Linked DNA regions of Drosophila melanogaster. The protein of the gene in region 2 purifies or fractionates together with the protein of the main gene of each other region. This does not show direct contact. Each region holds a gene or a part of one and is shown on either strand. Other genes may lie near its edges.

Region 1 (8,020 bases), on a different chromosome or scaffold from region 2:
CCACGGAATCAGTGCACTTACATGACATGGCATAATTTGCTCCAATCTTTATTTACAACAAATAATAATGGGCAGATCCACAGCAATAATAACAAATGGTTTTTGGAAATCGAAGCGTTGCCACAGGGCTGGGTAAGTATTTGCGTTTTAGCTGGGTGGCAAGGCTAACAATCAAAATTTAAAATGTTAATAACATTTATTTTAAAGACTAGAACATTGAACCAGTAATTACAAAATTATAAAAACTTTTGTCAGCAAAGTTAACTTTTATATTTTTTGTTTAACTGAGAGATTATGTTAGTCGATTCGTCTTTAATTTCTGGTAACAGATACACTGTTCAACAGTCAAAGATTGGGCACTATAACATTTTAAAGACGAATTGTCGTACTCAAAATATTGGCACCTCCACGGCGTTTCCAGTGTTGCTAAACACGGACATAAAGTAATGCAGTTCCGTGCATAACACCCAGACTTCGCGCCAAATTCGAAAAAAAAGTTTACAACACACGCTTTATTGCGCCTAGAATAGCCTTGTATGTACAAAAAGAGGAGAAAGGGAATAACAATATTATACGTAAAACAGGGTCCGTTACATACTACTAAACGACTGGTGCCCATGGAAGCAGGAATGATTTGAAGCTCTCATTGACTAAATGGTACGATTGTATTTCTTAACGACGCGATCCCAAGCGAATCTAGAACAGCAGCGAATACAGTTGACCTCCAATGCGCCGACACACGTTTGAGACCATATATGCGCCTGCAGAGATAGTCACGAACAGCGTCAACCATCCCAAGAACGTAAATTCGCCGACCCGGGGTCGGATGTGCCGCGACAGGCCCAACCATCCGCCGTTGTCGATCAGCCAGTAGACCAGGTCGTCCTCTATGATCTCAGCCAGACCGTCAATCAGGCACTGTAGGTAGTCGAAATGTCCCTGGCGCACGCAGTCTATGGCAAAGCCGCCGCATACGGCAAATATCGAGATTATCTTGCCCCAGGTGATGCTGGAGCGAAAAAGATCCTTGGCAACTAGGTTGAGCAACATGGGCGCCATGTCGCTGTCCTCCAGCTCGCCAAACGGGGCCCTCGACAGCTGTCGCGATATGTTTGTGTACACCCGCGGGTGCATCCGCTCCAGTTCCTCGCCCATCTGTGGATTATACCATGTTATGAAAAGATTCAATGGCGAATGGCAGTACACTCACGCTGTTCAGTGCCGGGAAAACTTCATAGACCACGTGCGAGGAGCCGGGGTCCAGGATGTTGCGCAAACGCTGTGTCACCTTCCGGTTGAGGACTCCTGCCCGTCGCAGCCGCGCTCTGATGTACTGACCACACAGACATTTCCCCTGGAATAGAACGACAAAGCCAAAAGTTCAATCACAATCAAATTAACTACAGTGCTTTGATCATTGCCAGGCAATTTCGCTCCATCAGCGGGCCACTTAAACAATATCAATCGACTGCCTCGAGTTTTCCGGCGAACATGCATATGTTCTATTTACGTCGCTCTGAATCCGTTTACAGGATTCCGTAGACACCTGGGCTATTTCAATCACACCTCTTACAGAGTATCTAAACATGCAGCCAAACTGATGGCAGGTGCACATGGCGGTAATAAACTTTGAACAACGACTTAAACAAAAGAAGCGATCAGCACGTGCTGTGGAAAGGCATTAAGACAACTAAAAATTTACTTATGGAATCTGAAAGACGCGAAACGTTTGGCGTAATTAAGGCATTCCCCACCATGTTGCGTTCAATTCCGACCCATTTAGTTGCAAGTTTCCTTCGACAATTTATGTCGCACAATTACCGTTCGTCACGCCAACGATTCCGCAGCCAAGTAAACAGACAATTACTCACTTTGGAGCCAACTTGACTTATGACATGGCCAGCCAAAGAAATCAAGCCCATGCCAAATCACCGGCCTTGAAGCTAGTGTCTTGAAAAGTCTATCGAAGCTACTCCGAACCCGTCCAGCCTCCCAGCGAAATATTAATAAATCCGTCAATTTGTTTACGTGATCTTGTTATGGCGAACACTTGTGCGCCCAACTCTTTCCTTTTGGCGGGTTTGGTGCGACCAAATACCATAAGATTTACTTGAATGGCCAGAGTTCGATGAATTCATCACCTGAGGCTTTCGGGTTGTATAGTTAGTGGTCGGTTTATTTTTGGAATACTTGTTTATAATGGTTCCACCCGTGGCGCTTTCGCGGTTCTTCCCTTTTCTTTAGTTGCTATTATTTTCCTTGAAAACCTCTATGCAGCCTGGTTATGGCCCATTCCATCTGATTTGTCAGAGAAAATGGCGTTTACTTTAGAGGACTGCATTCTGAGAAAACTTCCGCAATGCGCTTAATGATAAATTCCTCAAGAAGTTATCAGCCCGGCGAAAGCAACCACATAGGCAAATATATTTAATAAACACTTTACATGTCGCTCACCTGGAGGAGCGGAGTAAATAGTTTTATCAGTCTCAGATAAACGAATGGTGGAAACAAAAATATTTGCCTTATCAATTAAGTTGAGACAGTCAAGACCCAAATGGTGGATAGCAGAGATTCGGATGGATCGTCCTCGATCAGAGCCATCGAAAATTAGTTGATACCGCAAACAGTTCTGCACATTAAATTGGAATCTGTTTGCAGTTGTCTGTTCCGTTTCATTTTGGCAATTTCGAAATTTGTCCACGAAATTAGGCAATTTGTTTGAACAGCTTTTTCTTTTAGTTTTGTGTTGTGTTTCTCATTTTGCGTACTTGCTGAATATTTAATCACCAAACTGTTGTATTTATATGTATGTCTCAAAAATCGGTTTTAATTATGTGCACATGTTCCGATGCATGACCAGTTTATTTTCTGACTCATTCTATGTTGATAACGTTAGATATTACTTAAAATAATTTAAAAAAAAAACATTGAGTGGCAACATAAGGCTGGAATAGAATAACTATAACAACTAATATATATAACTATTATCAAGGTTTTTAACTATTTTAACGCAAAACTATATATTTAAATGTGGGTTGAAACCGAGTCATGTTTAAAATAATTACACCTTAAAGTAAAGCACATGTCCTCAACCTCTTAAGAAATTTAAGTATTTGTGTTGATTAAACTTTTATATCACCAGGCGCATTGCTATGAACTATAAGAAGTCTTATTTATCGAAGAAGTATCTATTGTAAATTTCAACATTAAAACAATGCATATGAGCCCTGAAAACTTGTCAAAAGAATATAAATTATTTGTAACAAAGCCTTGACCGCTAAAGTTCATAATGCTTTTAAAACCACTTGCAAATTTAATTTGTATTATCTTGGCTTAGTTTTTCTAATTTTCCAACCGAAATGACTGTAATTGTATAATTTTAGAGAATTCTGGCCTATAAGGAAGACATCTGCTTGGTCTGGACCACATACATACATACATAGCTGCCTCTATGTGTACGAATTGGTCTTATATTTAAGAATACCCATCGGAATTCTAGAATTCTGCAAAAGATTAAAGCTAATCCAAGGCATTCAATAGTTCCTTGCTGAAACACTCACTTTGCTGGTGAATATCTCCCTATTTAACTTCCTTGCAATTCCATTGGCTGAGTAACACTCGTAAATTTTTTTGAACATATGCTGAATCAGACGCTTACTTTATAAGGCAACAGTCCCAGCATACTCTCAAGACTTCAACTAAATAATTCCCAAATTGTCCATAGCAAAGGACGGAGCCACTGGTCACCCATTTCTGGTCCTCACCTGGTTGATGATATCCATTTTGTACTCCTGGTAGTTAGTCATCGTGCGCGTACTGCTAGCCAGCGAGGATGTGGAGGCGGCCCGTGTCATGGGTCCGCCGGCGTGAAGGGAGCGTCCGTTAGAGGGATTGGGTACGCTACCGGGTCCTCCTGCTCCTCCACCGACGCCTCCGCGGAGCGCCTTCCAGTCGCTGGAGGCCGTGGCAATGGTGCCGCGGCGATTGGCCGTGTAGATCTCGTGGTCCAGCGACGAGGACTTGAACTTGGCCAGCTTGGGTGGCGGACTGGTGGTGGGAGCCATGGTCGAAGTCGAGGGCAGGGCAATGCTTGGCTGCCCGCTATTGTTGCTGCTGAGGCCTTTGTTGGCGCTGCCCCATGTGGGTTGTGTAATTCCGAAAGCCCAGCCCCGCGACTTTGCATGCACTATGCACTCGGAGCGGAGCGGATCGGATTGGATTGGATGGGATCGGGTGTGAGCGGTGGGGAGCGGTGGGCAGCGCACGAAAGGGGAGCGGAGTGGATCAGCTCACCTCGACGCAGCTGAGGCTCAGCTCGTCTTGGGCTTTTTTGGAGGTGCTCCGATTCTGATAAAATGGGCAAAACAAAATAAAAGTCGGCGACGAATGTGGCGAGCAAAGCGCAGGGCAGCAAACACGAACGAAACGCACAAAGAAGAGCCACTAAAACTTGTTGCTGGTGCCGCGATCCCAGTTTTATTTCACTTCATTTTTTTTTCAGCCGCTCAGAGCTTGCTTTCTTTTTCGCCGCGTTTAACCGAGAGCTTAGTATTCTGAATTTCAACGGGCAGTGGGGAGAGGGAATCGGCCTACCACCCTCTCCGTTCTATCTTCGATTCCCCACTTTCACGGTTACGGTTCCACGGGTTCCACGGTTCTCCGATCAGCGATCTAGGTTCTTTCGAGTTCCCGTTCTCGTTCTCGCGAGCGGCGCTTGTGATTGTGCGTTCGTTGTAGAGGTGGAGAAACATCGATGTTTTTGAAAAATCATAAACATCGATGTTTTTCGAGAAAACATCGATGTTTTTCCATCTCTACTGCGCATCGGAGAAGAAAAGTGTATGAATTGTAAGTACAAATTAATTTTCCATATTTTCTAATGCAATTATTAAAAGCATAACATAGCACATGGATTAATATCTGAAATGTTAGTTTTGAACTCCCGATTTGTGCACTTGCAGTTGCTCGTATGCATACTGGTTTACTTTTCCATTTAATTGTATTAATTTGTTTTATAGGAGCAACTATTGGACCAGCGGCTGATGAAAACGGAGACGACAATAAGTTTGTTTTTCTTTTCTTAAAGTACTGCCTTTTTATTTAAGCAATATTAAAAAATAATCATTAAATTAAGCAGGTAAATTTTGTTGTTTTTATTTTAAACATCGATGTTTTTCGCCAAAAACATTGGAAGCTTTGATGCCCGCCAACATCAATATTTCTCCACCTCTAGATTGTGCATTCGTTGTGTTTTCGCGACTGGCGAGCCGCGGCTCGCTGGGAACCGGTTCGCGGTAACGGTTTCGAAATAACGGCTTCGCTCTCGAAACCGAATACCGATTGCTTTGATATAATTGTAAAATGGAAACCAAATTTTTTTCACCAACGATGTATTACTCTGACAACCATTTGATTAACTTCTCAAGATATATTATACTTACTTTCGGATCTAAAACTGTTATGGAACCAGAAAGCTATTGCCGCCAATTTCAAAACTGTAAGGGAGCGATCTCCAAACTGCTAAATGTGATGTTCAAAAACTTAAATATTTTATCACTAAACGATAAATGTCCGTAGGCTTCGATCTATGATCTCAGATAAGAGATGCAGGCATCGGTCGCCCCTTTTGGAGGTGATATTACTCGAGGAGGACTTTCGTTTCGTTGGATCAATAAACTAAATAATTCAATAAAATGGAAAAAATACCGACTTGTTTCAAAAATGTAGTTGTAACAGTTTTGTGCATTAGCGATTGCATAGCAACGTTCTCAAACAATCTTCCACAGTCGTGTGTAGAATCTGCTTGCCAGATTGACATGGCCAGACCGACTCGGTTAGTTATCCTTTTTTATGATGAGTAACGTGTGTAATTAAATATTCTTTATAATGTTAGTTTGCTGAACTATCCCCACATTTAGGATTAATCCCACCTTGAATTGCTTACGCGTTCGTAACAAAAAGATAATTTTTTTGATAAAAATAACGCTGATACGCGAATTTTTGCAGTGTATCGGACTAGGACGATAAAGGTGTCGTTCTCGTTTTTTAAGCTTATGTAAGATTTTTTAAATGAATCTAACCGAACTATTGAATCAGATCAATCTAAGAAGCATCGTTCCGCCGGTTCCAAATCCGAATACCGACTATTTTGATAATTACCAATGTCGTATTACTTTATCACCCATTTTATTAACTTCTCAAGATATTTACATATTATACTTTCTTTCAGATCTGCAGTCCAACTTTTATCGAAACGAAAAGCTCTGGAATAAGCTTTTCGAGAGAACATCTTGCCGCCAATATCAAGACTGTGGGGGAGCGAACTACAAACTTATAAATGTGATGTTCGCAAATTTTGGATCTTTTATCTCTAAACGATTATTGTCCGTATTCTTCGATCTAAGATCTGAGATCAGCGATGCAAGCATCGGTCGCTCCTTTTGGAGGCGATATTACCCGTGGAGGACTTTGGTTTCGGATCAATAAACGCACATTCCGGTTGGGACCCAAAAGATTCCTTGGATAGGACCTCAAGGCTTAAAAGAAATTTGTTTGAGTCATTAACAGGTGTTCTTGTTATCAGAAGTTTTAAAAATGAGATAAAAAATAAACAGGCCAACTTTTGCTTGCCATATTTAAAAAAAAAGACAGAATGCTATAGTCGGTGCCCCGAATATCAGATACCCGTTAAAAATTGTTTAAAAGCGTCCGGCTTGGCGCATTTAGTGGCAAATTTTTTTTTGGCAAATCCATAGAAATTTACACACGTAATAAAATTATTGAAAAATATCATCAATATCGAAAAAGGGCATCGACTCGGTTAGTGATCCCTTTAAGGTCTGAAACGCTTCCTCCTAACTGTTACATAATTGCCAAAGAATCAAGTAAGCCCTTTTTGTTCTACGAGTAATCCACATTTAGGATTGATCCCACATTGAATTGCTCACGCGTTCGTAGCAAAAAGAACATTTTCTTGGATATCGGACTCAGACGATAAAGGTGTCGTTCTTTATTTTTGAACTTATGTAAGATTTTTTAAATGATCCAACCGAACTATTGAATCAGATCAACCTAAGGCCTAAGTTCCCTGGCGCACCACACTTTCGGTGCTCATCGTCACTACGTAAACTGCTGTCCGGTGTGAAAGTCGAGAAAACAGATACTTCTCAGCATTTGCATACCTAGTATCTTTAGAAGTGATCAAAATGGGCCGATTGCCAAGAAGCGTGACATCCATACACCCCACAGCAAAACTAATTGTAATCTTGATGGTCAGCATGGGGCTGTCAAAGCATGCTTATGTTTAATTGGAATCCGGCAGAGTATCAACCTAATCAATTCTACTATCACAGCGCAAACATTTTCCACTACTTGGCTTCCCCACACCCGTTTCTAAGAATATTTGTCTCTCTCCCCAGCCACATATGTACATACACACATATGTGCACCACCCCCAGCAATGACTTTTCCGTAGGCTTCACTGCGGACTGCAACATTGTTGCCATCGACAGAGTTTTTGTAATTGAATGAAATTAATTATATTCCAGTCGCTGATGATATTCATTTGCGTTCGCTGTGGTGGAGGGGCAGCTGATAATTAAAAGCTCAAATAGGCTGTTAAACTGAACTGACACAGTGACTCCGGGTTAGGTGATGTAAATCTCCACCAAATCTCAATTGATAGCGTTATCAGTGAGCCCCTTGTGGAAGCTGAGGATCGGTTCATATGCCGACCAGCAGCCAGATGTTCCTTACTTACAGTCGTAATTTCCGGACATGAATAACTTTTAGAAACAAATCCATTGTTTAGACTCATTGTAAATTTCTTATGTTGTATTAGGAATTGGTAAATTTATCATATTTTTTTTTCTATCAACGAGTATTCTTCCGAAATATTCCGCGAATCAGCAAGACTAGCCCATAAGTTTCTCTTAGTGAGGCTTGACTGTAATCCCGATCGGCTGACGGCGGATTCCAGACGCTTTCAGAACGGCCGATGCCGTCGCCAGCGTCTCTGTTA
Region 2 (9,483 bases):
GCTATGATCAAGCTCTTCTCAACGACGCGCCACGAAAGGCGCAGAAAGACATTGTATATATTCGTAGTAGGTCCTGCTAAAAGTAAAAGTAAAGTTATATAATCTAGCTGTGATTGAATAAAGACAAGATGAAACCAATTCAAAACCTGAATAATATGGGAATAGGCAGAGTTACTTCACTTTTCTGTCCATTGCTAAAATTGTTCTTCGAGTGCAGAGTCAACAAAATTGGGTTTATTAACTCGATCGGGTGTTCTCATCAATCGCAGCCATTTGCACTTGAATTTAAAAATAATTATAAGCTATGCCACACTACTGCTTCTTCGCCTTGGGTTCCCAGGCCTCCACTTTGTTGGGTGTTGTGGAGTAGGGGTAGTAGGCCTCTGCAAGAGCAGGATTGAATTAGGGGGCTTACTTAATGGGAATAGTGCATAGTTACCCTTAGTTCCGGAAAGATTCTCGCTGTGGTCCGCTATCCACTTGTACTTGGGGCGGCATCCATCGCGAATGGGAGGCAGATCGGTCTATAAGGAAAAAGGTAATAACATGTGCGACAAGATGTAGTCTAAACCCACCTTGTAGTGCATCCAGCCGTACCACTCGGCGGGAATCATGGATCCATCGTAGTCCATGTTGACGTGGGGGGCGAACTCGATCCAGCGATTGCGGCCGTAGAAGTAGTACGGGTTCTCGAAGTACTTGTTGCCGTACTTGTCGATGCCCACCAGGGTTCCGATCTTCAGATCATCGTTCCTGGAAAATAGCGCATATGCGGTTTTCAGGATTGGAGCAATCTTATATAAGATCGAGACTCACCTATAGAGCTTCAGGTACGCTTGCTTCAGTCCTCCGGCTTCGCGGACCATCTGGAACAGCTTTGTCAGCCGGTTGATGCCCAAAAACTTTGCCATGCTGCCGGGAAAACCCAGAAATATATTAAACGTAAATAATTTCGATTTTCTTGGACTCACTTGAAACAAAAACAAAGTCAATCTGCAGTGTGGCCAGGAGAGGTCAAAAGCACCAGCTAGAAATACTGAATCATATCAATCATATTCTTTGAAGTAAAAATGGAACAAGATTGGTCGAAACCTACTCTCAAAATATTTTTAAAGCTCATTAGACTTTCATTTGCTGAGATAAGTGATTGTGAAACTCATGTTTTTTGTTGCTTGGATGTATCCTGTGCATTATTGGCGCTTTGGTAATAATACTGCAGCTAGTATTTTCTGAGGTTCGGCCACACTGCCACTCATCTGTTTTGCCTTGCCGGATTTTGTGATTCATATTTTTGTAGAGAAAAGTGGTGGGAATTTAGCGAAAACATGGCCAAAAACACGTCCAGCAACGCGTTCCGCAAGATCGATGTGGACCAGTACAATGAGGACAACTTCCGGGAGGATGATGGGGTGGAGAGCGCGGCAGCCGGTCCGGATGAGAGCGAGATTACGACGCTGCTGACGCAGGGAAAATCCGTGGAGGCGCTCCTGAGTGCGCTGCAGAATGCCCCGCTGCGCTGCAAGAACCAGAATGTGAAGGTGGGTAGCCACACCTATTCGTATCGAGAACCCTATAAAGCTAATCCTTCCTTGCATTGCAGGACCACGCCCTGAACATCACGCTGCGGGTGCTGCTGTCCATCAAGTCGACGCAAATGGACCAGGCCATCGACACCTTGGACCAGAACGACCTAATAGACGTGCTGATGAAGTACATATATCGGGGATTCGAGATCCCCTCGGAGGGCTCCAGTGGCCACCTGCTGCAGTGGCATGAGAAGGCCTTCGCCAAGGGAGGAGTGGGCTGCATTGTCCGCGTGCTGTCCGACACAAATCGCGCCTAGAGGAGATCAGCACAGCCAAAGGCGGTCATAGAGTCACTACCCCAACTGTTCCCTGCCCCATAAACCGATTCATACGCATCGCGGAGCATTTAATCAACACAGGATTGGAGCACTGGACACCACATCCTTATCTTCGGGATTTGCCACGCCCCAGCTGGAACCCACTTCTGTTTCTTCGCCGCAATACAAATGACGTTTTCCAAATTAGATTTTAACTGGTATCCAAGTATTAAAGTTTTTATTACGAAAGGTGAGTGGCAGTGATTTCAATCAGGGGAACGAACGTACTTCTAGTTCACTCAAGCCACACCTACATGTAACATAATTTGTAAGAAAAATTTTGTTTTTAGTAAGGCTAAGCAATTGCTACGCATCTCAAAACTCAGGAAGATTCAACTCCTATCAGATTTAAACACTTATTAATCTTCAGACTGAGCCTAGCAACTTTACGAACATAATGGCTTATCTAATCGAAATTCCAGGTGTATCATTCAACATGATGACGTTGCCTTCGTAAACTTTTAGCTGCCGTGACAGAAAACACATCTACTATGTTTGAATCAACCTTTTCTGCTTTATTTGACTATTCAATGTGTAATAAGTGCTTTGAGTAACCTAATCAAACCAATCACGGCGTCTACAACTTCTTATTAATTTAAAAAGCGGAGAGGCTCGATGATAGACAAATGCCAGGCGAATAGAAATGCGAGTTGGCTAAATGAAAGGCCCAGAATTTGGGGGTCGCATGCAATTTGATGATATTTCAGTGCTCGGTAGGGGGAACATTTAACAAAGGAGTTCGTTCTCTTTGAACGCGTCTTCAATAAATAGTTTTTATGTTGCTTATATGCGGGGATTATTAAGTCGAAACGGGTTGCTCCAATCGCTGACCAGCCTACCACATGTGGGTCTCGCGGATTTCGCTGATGATGTGATTCGCTCGCGTCAGTGCCTGAAATCAAAAGTAAGTTTAAAACGATGTCAAGCTAAGTATAAGCTAGCCAAGCGCACCTTCAGCATATCTGCCGCCTCTTTTCGGCGCACTGCAATGTGATCGGACTCGTTGAGCAGGGTTTCAGCCTTATCCGACTTATACAGATGTGTAACCAATTCGCTCTGCAAGTTGTCCTTAACGTAGTTAACCAAGAAATGCATGATGGCCTTTGGAACCGAGTCTTGTATGGATTTGCGCACAATGTAGAAATACGATTTGATCAGGTGTTCTAAAAACAAAAAGTAGTCAGATTGAGTTAGGTCTTTAAGTGGCCCGAGTTAAGTGCAACCCACCGATGACATCGCAATCCTTCTGCTCCTTGTCAGTGAGGCGACGTGGATTGTGGTTGGCCGGCACATCGGGCAGCAGATTGACCGGCTTCACTGGACTCACGATGTTATTGTGAACCGGAGTGTTGTTGGTCGAGTTCTCAATGCTGTCCGGACGCGTTGGTGCCGGCGGTAAAATGTTTGACAGCCATGTGCTGGCCATCGAAGGCGTCGAGTTCTCGGCGACGTGGTTCTAGAGAGCGAAACGAAAATGGGTTAAATAGGTTGCATACATAAATGAAGATTCCGCTGGCACCTGCTCATGCACTTGGCTATATTGCTGCTGTGAGGAATTCGGCTGCGGCGGCTGTTGCTGCTGCGGCTGCTGTGAACCAGCACTGTGCGACGAAATCTGAGGCGACATGTGGTTTCGCGGTGTATTGGCCCGCCGCTGCCCCAGATTTATCTGTGAGTAGGGATCGCTGTCCGTTTTCAGCAGACTGGGCACCAAAGCGGCATCCTTGTGGAAGTCGGGGTGCTTGGTGTTGATGTAGGCCAGCTCGATGGCCACAATGTTCTCCACCATCACGTTGGTGTGCGGCAGACGTCGACGCAGCAGCTGGGTGACCACGTCCACAATCTTCTCGTGCAGTTTGGGAAAGCTGTAGGGGAGATCGATGAAAACCTTTGGCGTTCAGCTATCATGAGTTCACATACCGCAGCATCTCCTGCTGCACTTCGTTGCCACAATGCTGAACAATGCGCTGCATCTCCTCGTGAATGAGTTCCACGCAGCGCAAGGAGGGTTCCTCCAGGCGGCGAATCTGGCGCTTCACTAGCAGTTCGAACGAGACCTCCGGAACGAACAAAGCCGGGCGTGGACCAGTGGCATTCCGGATGGCTGTCAGTATGTCCATCTTGCTCAGACCCGCCAGCGGGTGAATGGAGTCCAGGGTGCGGCCGAAGGTCTCGTGGAAAATGTAGCCCATCCGGGCACCGCCGCACAGTTCCGTGGTCTCGATATTCCTGGCCGTGCCCTCGATTGTGCAGCAGTAGGCGCTGGAGAACTTCGTGATGATCTGCAGCAGGGTCTGGCTCTTGTCGGAGACATCCTCGCCATAGGAGTTCAGCAGCGATTGGAATTGCGTGGCCATGATGTTGACGCGAGTCTGCAAGAATATGGGAAGTCATTCTCTTGAATTCAACATGCTATTCTAACCTTATCTGCCATTAATCTTCTCTTGCTTTACCATAGAAAAATATAAAGATCGATTATAATCGAGTGCCAAGTTTGTTTCATTTTTTTACATTTTCTTGAAGTTTTAGCCTGAGATTCTCGCATAGTTTGTGAAATCGATATGCAGTCTTTATAGACTAGACTCACCTTAAGATCTGGCAGGCAGTCCCGGATGTGGTGCATCAGGAGCCGGTTGAGGGTCTTGGCCAAGTAGGGCGTGCCGTTCCGGGTGGCCAGAGTGGGATACTTGCGCTGCAGGAAGGCGGCCTCGTCCTTCATCTGATCGTCGATGTGCTTTTGGTCCATGATGTCCTTCTGCGAGCGATTCATAACGCCGATGATGCCCAGCTTGACGGGAATGACCCGGCCGCACAGGATGTCGATGGCATCGGTGCCGGCATCCATGAGATCCAGTTTCGTGACCACGGCCAGAGTGCGCCGGCCATCGGGGTCCACGTCCTTGGCCAGCTTGAGTGCCTCACTGGTGGCCATGTCCGTGTTGGCGGCCGTCACAGCCAAAATGATGGAGTTCGGGTTCTCAATGTACTTGAGGACCAATTCTTTGATCTGCGCCTCGATATCCTCCGGCTGATCGCCCACCGGGACCTTGGTGATGCCGGGCAGATCCACCAGCGTTAGGTTGACCACGTGCGTTGAGAATATCTTCAGGTTGATGGGCTCCGGGCAGATGCCCTTGTTGCTGCCCGCCGCCCGCTCCGTTTCGTTTTCGATCTCCTTGCGGATCTCGTCAAAGTCCGTGAAGCACTTCTTGGTGTGCAGGAAGCGGCCCCACTCCTCGGCATTGGACGTACCTAAGTGTTATGTGGTTTAGCAATTGGGTTTTCCCGAACTTCTGACGTCTCAACTCACCATTTTCCGCCGAGCGATTCTCGCGATCATCGAGTGGGCTGTAGATCAGCTGGAGCACCAGTGGGCGACGGGTCACAATACCAGTTCCACGGGGCAGAAAGGATCGTCCCACAACGCTCTCGATCACCGAACTCTTGCCGGAGCTCTGGAAAAAAGGGGAAATGTATGTATTACTGGGAGTTAAAACGACGGCTGATAAAAGACGATGACCTGATAAGGTGGCTCCCAAGCGTTTGCAGCGAGGAAACACTTGGAAAACCGCAGATTAACTATTCTTATCTGGCAATGGGAGCCATTCTGTGATTGCAAATTTCTCAAACTTAAGCCTTTGCAACAGAAAACCAAATGAATGGTAAGAAATGGCACAGATTCAACATATTGGAGCTCCGCTGTACTCGGTATCAATGAGTTGCGCGAGCATTTAGTCATACTGACTTAATTCCAGAGCGTGAATCAAAGTGCAATTAAGCCAGCGATCGAAACATGCACACATATATGTACATACAGACACAACTATCGAAGTCACACATGTGTACGTTTGTTTTTTGCAGTGTGTTCGTGGGGGAATGTGTCACATCAGCCAGCAGCTGTTTTTTTTTTCGTTTTTGTATAATACTGTGGCATATTGATTTTCCATGGCGGCGGCGAGCAGTGCCAAAAATAATTATATAAACAATGGGGACGCCGCGAAGAGCGAAAGCTGGCTGAAATGTTGCTACAAACTGAAAACACAACTAAAATGCCGGCAAACGCACTCAGTTATATAATTTTGCGGTCACTGGAAAAGCGCAAGAGTTGGGGTTTCAGATAGCTGCGCCATATTCCGGTTCTCAGTTGCCACTCCTTTTACGGAGCTCGGGGATTTATGGTTTTCGGTGTGCGGATTTTTGGGCACCTCGCAGTTTGCATTTACCTGACTGCCTAGAACAACAATTTGGGGCAATTGGATGGAGTCGGAGCCCACGGTGTTGAAGACGTCCTGCAGCTTGTTTATGACCGGAATTAGGGCCTCCATTCTGAGTGTGTGTGTGTGCTGGGTTCCTTTGGTCGCGTTCCACTCGGCTGGCGATTAATTCGCGCACATAAAGGCCGTTCTTTTCGGCTTTTTCTGATTGACGCGAGCACCGAAATTATTTTTGCAAACCGCCAGTGTTGCACAGCAAATTTAGACTGTTTTTCTAGCGGTGTTGCCACACGGGCGGAACTTGCTGCTATCGGCAGTCCCTAGACGAGGTTGCCACCGTGCGCGAGAGTGCTGCCAATCTATTCCAAAAGGGCAGCTTTCTGTGCGCGCCAAAATTGAATTTTTGGGTGTTTCCAATTTTGCCCGTTAGTTGCGTGTATTGAATACTTTACACAAATAAAGAAAGGTATGATTTCATAACATTACTTAAAATCCCCCAATAGCTACAAAATATGAATGTCCTTTTCTTTTTGTTTTGTTTCATATTTTGCCTTTTTACTTATTTTATATGCACATGAGGAGTTTGTATTGATATGGACCAAACAAAAGGGGTCCTTACAAACCAATCTGAAAACTCACACACCACAATCTAAATCTGGCAGAATCTCAATATATTCATCGTATCTAACTAAATTGAAAAACTACACAGAGTAGGCGCATTTCTGAATACCCTTACAGACATAACAGTGAAAATGAATATATAGCATAAATATATTGTCTTTGATTTTGTCTAATTTCTGCAGAAATAAAGGACTATTTAAACGAAGAAATATTAAAGTTGGAGCAGCCGCCAAGTGGTCAGACCACGTGGCCCAAAATAGGGAAAAGGAATAATCTGGGGACCGGCCTCAAGTGCTCGAGATTTGCATGGGCGGTTGGGATGGGGACTTCCCCGGTTTTATATAAGAATTGCAGGGCAGTGAGCTGTGCCCCAAAACCAAAAAGGGGGCTACCCGACTATTTCTCGACCACACTCGATTGCCTGCCTGGCATGCATTGTGGGCGAAATGCCGGGCTCATCTGTCGTTTTTATCGGTTTATTTCAATGTTCGAGGATGCTTGTCGCCCGGTACACTAAGCATTCAAATTTCGATAGTGGCCTGGCCCAAATGGACCAGAATATTGGACGTACATATGTATGTACCACATCCATGTGCATAGAAGCCCCCACTCACGTATGCATCATGTGTCCTATTTGATAACAGTTCCCATTGTTGTTTGGCCAGCTCCTCCTGGCTGCTCCCAATTGAAAATGACAATGAAAATTGTTACAAGTTGGCTGATATCATTTTGCAATGCTCGCTTATCTCTTTAATGGCTTCCAAGCGATTTGAATATGCTTGGGATGATTTAAGATGACTTATTATTTACAATCCCATTGAAGTATCGAATTGTTTGAGTTTATTGTTCCGATCGCAGGATGGTAATATCGATTATAAGTAGTTTCAAAATTTAATCATTCCACTTCAAAATTAGTTACGCCATCCATGAAACTTTGATCATTCAAGTTTGGGATACTGACTAATCTCATTTCTTGCCCCATTATTATACATTCTGGCATTTTTCGAACTGCAAGTGGGCTTCTTTAGCATTTTCATAGATAAACTTTCGGCTTCCAATTAACAAATTTGGCTGGCAACTTTGCCAGCACACCTCTGCTGTATCTGTGTGTTTGAGTGTGTATAAATATTTCAAAATTTCCCCCATCAAATTGGCATTGTTGGACCGGGGAACTTTCGTATCTCTGGCTTGACAACTTGCCGAAATGTGCGGCGTGGAAAACTTCTTGAGTTTGAGTTGACAGTTATTGCGAAAGACGGGCGGGGGTGATGGTGATGGGGCACGCCCCCTTCTCGGGGCCGGAATATTAATTTGATAATTTCACGGCTGAATGCAAATTCGGTGTCAGGGTCCTTGGCTCTCTAATTGACTGACGAATACTTAAAATATGAATTTCAAATGAAGTTCAGCCATTGTCTGCTTTCTGGCTTTCTTTTGCCGCTTTTCGACTTGGCGCGATTAATTATGGAGTGATGATGATGATGATGGTGATGATGATGGTGTAGTTGAAGCTGGAGCAGCCTCTGCCCTCCGGTGGAGCATTAATCATGTGAAAGTAATTTTGCACATTTGCATGCGTTGCACAAAGCGATAATTTTCATCCATCATTTTCAAGTGTTTCCGCAGGATTATAGTGCTGCAAGGAGTCGCCAGCCTTTCGCTGTCATATCCTGCGTGTGTGCAGGATGGGTAGTCGCCTCATTATCCATCGCCATGTCGTCGTCAATTATTCTTGTTCTGCAGCCAGCCTGCAAGAACTTTGCATTTAGTTGATGAGCTTCTCTGCCCTGGTGGAAACCACGAAGTCCTCATGCTCCTCCTGCTCATCCTGCTCCTTTGGTGCTTTGCTCTTTTGTGCCTCGATGCCTTTGGTTTTCGGGACTCGGCTTTCATCTTTCGGCTGACTGCCAGTTGATCAATGGCTCTGCCCGTTTTCCATGGTGTTTCATGCAATTACGTATTTATATTGCGTATACGCCATGTGAATACGACGGATGGATGGAGAGCCCTTGAAGTAGGCGGCGTTACGGGGCGGAAACTTCTCCGTACGTTCTCGCCACAACTGCTGCAATAATGAACTTTGATTTTGCCCCTTTGCAATTCCCGGAATCATGAATGTTCCACAGCTTGTGGTCTGGCTGGAAAATGCGGAGCGCGAGCTGGGAAATATGCGATATAATTGCTGATTGATGCGGTTTGAAGGAGGTTGCTCTTTATGCTCTCGCACATTTTAATATAAAACTTGGTTGAAAGTATACAATACATTTTTATTCAATAACTGAATATATATGCATAATAATAAATTAGATATATCTCTTTTTTCATCATTACCATTACTAAACCCATTAAAGGACCATGAAGTGTGGCCATAACCGACTCTATCAAGTGGGTTGAATTATGAAGGCCATGTGTGCAGCCGCTTGGTTGGGTTTTTCGGTGCGCCCCGGATCTTGGCAGGATGTGGTTACCATTTAGCAGATGTCGCCGCTCTTGGCACCCAGCTCCTTGGCCATTAATCTGCCTGGGAACGCGGCTGCCAGATGCCTGCTGCCTTCTACTGCGGAAAGTGCGAAAGTATCGCACACATGTTTCCCTTATTTATATTTTGGCAATGCTCTGGCTGCATGTTTAATTGGATTTGCAGCTAAGCGGAATTAGAAGTGTGGGCGGAAAAGTGGGGAGCATTTGCATACTCCAGCTGTGGCGGAAAACCTCGACGGAAAGCCTCGAGACACTGGAAAAAAG

What was found. Proteins that work in one complex are often made in the same cells at the same time.
Region 1: the proteins of Drp1 (region 2) and Debcl purify together in Drosophila melanogaster (affinity purification with western blotting, with the first as the bait; one study listed by BioGRID). This does not show direct contact.

Annotation. Positions count from the first base shown.
Region 1 is NT_033778.4:6,645,323-6,653,342, reverse strand, and holds Debcl (death executioner Bcl-2), read right to left. Parts: upstream 4,690-8,020; 5' UTR 4,065-4,689; coding exon 3,765-4,064; intron 1,355-3,764; coding exon 1,211-1,354; intron 1,156-1,210; coding exon 697-1,155; 3' UTR 501-696; downstream 1-500. Other genes in the region: Opbp (Optix-binding protein), read right to left, coding at 22-28.
Region 2 is NT_033779.5:2,579,044-2,588,526, forward strand, and holds Drp1 (dynamin related protein 1), read right to left. Parts: upstream 6,388-9,483; 5' UTR 6,229-6,387; coding exon 6,127-6,228; intron 5,359-6,126; coding exon 5,214-5,358; intron 5,156-5,213; coding exon 4,491-5,155; intron 4,276-4,490; coding exon 3,824-4,275; intron 3,769-3,823; coding exon 3,423-3,768; intron 3,360-3,422; coding exon 3,131-3,359; intron 3,067-3,130; coding exon 2,855-3,066; intron 2,796-2,854; coding exon 2,739-2,795; 3' UTR 2,238-2,738; downstream 1-2,237. Other genes in the region: ND-B17.2 (NADH dehydrogenase (ubiquinone) B17.2 subunit), read right to left, coding at 313-383, 440-524, 576-753, 817-911; Arpc5 (Actin-related protein 2/3 complex, subunit 5), read left to right, coding at 1,326-1,538, 1,601-1,843.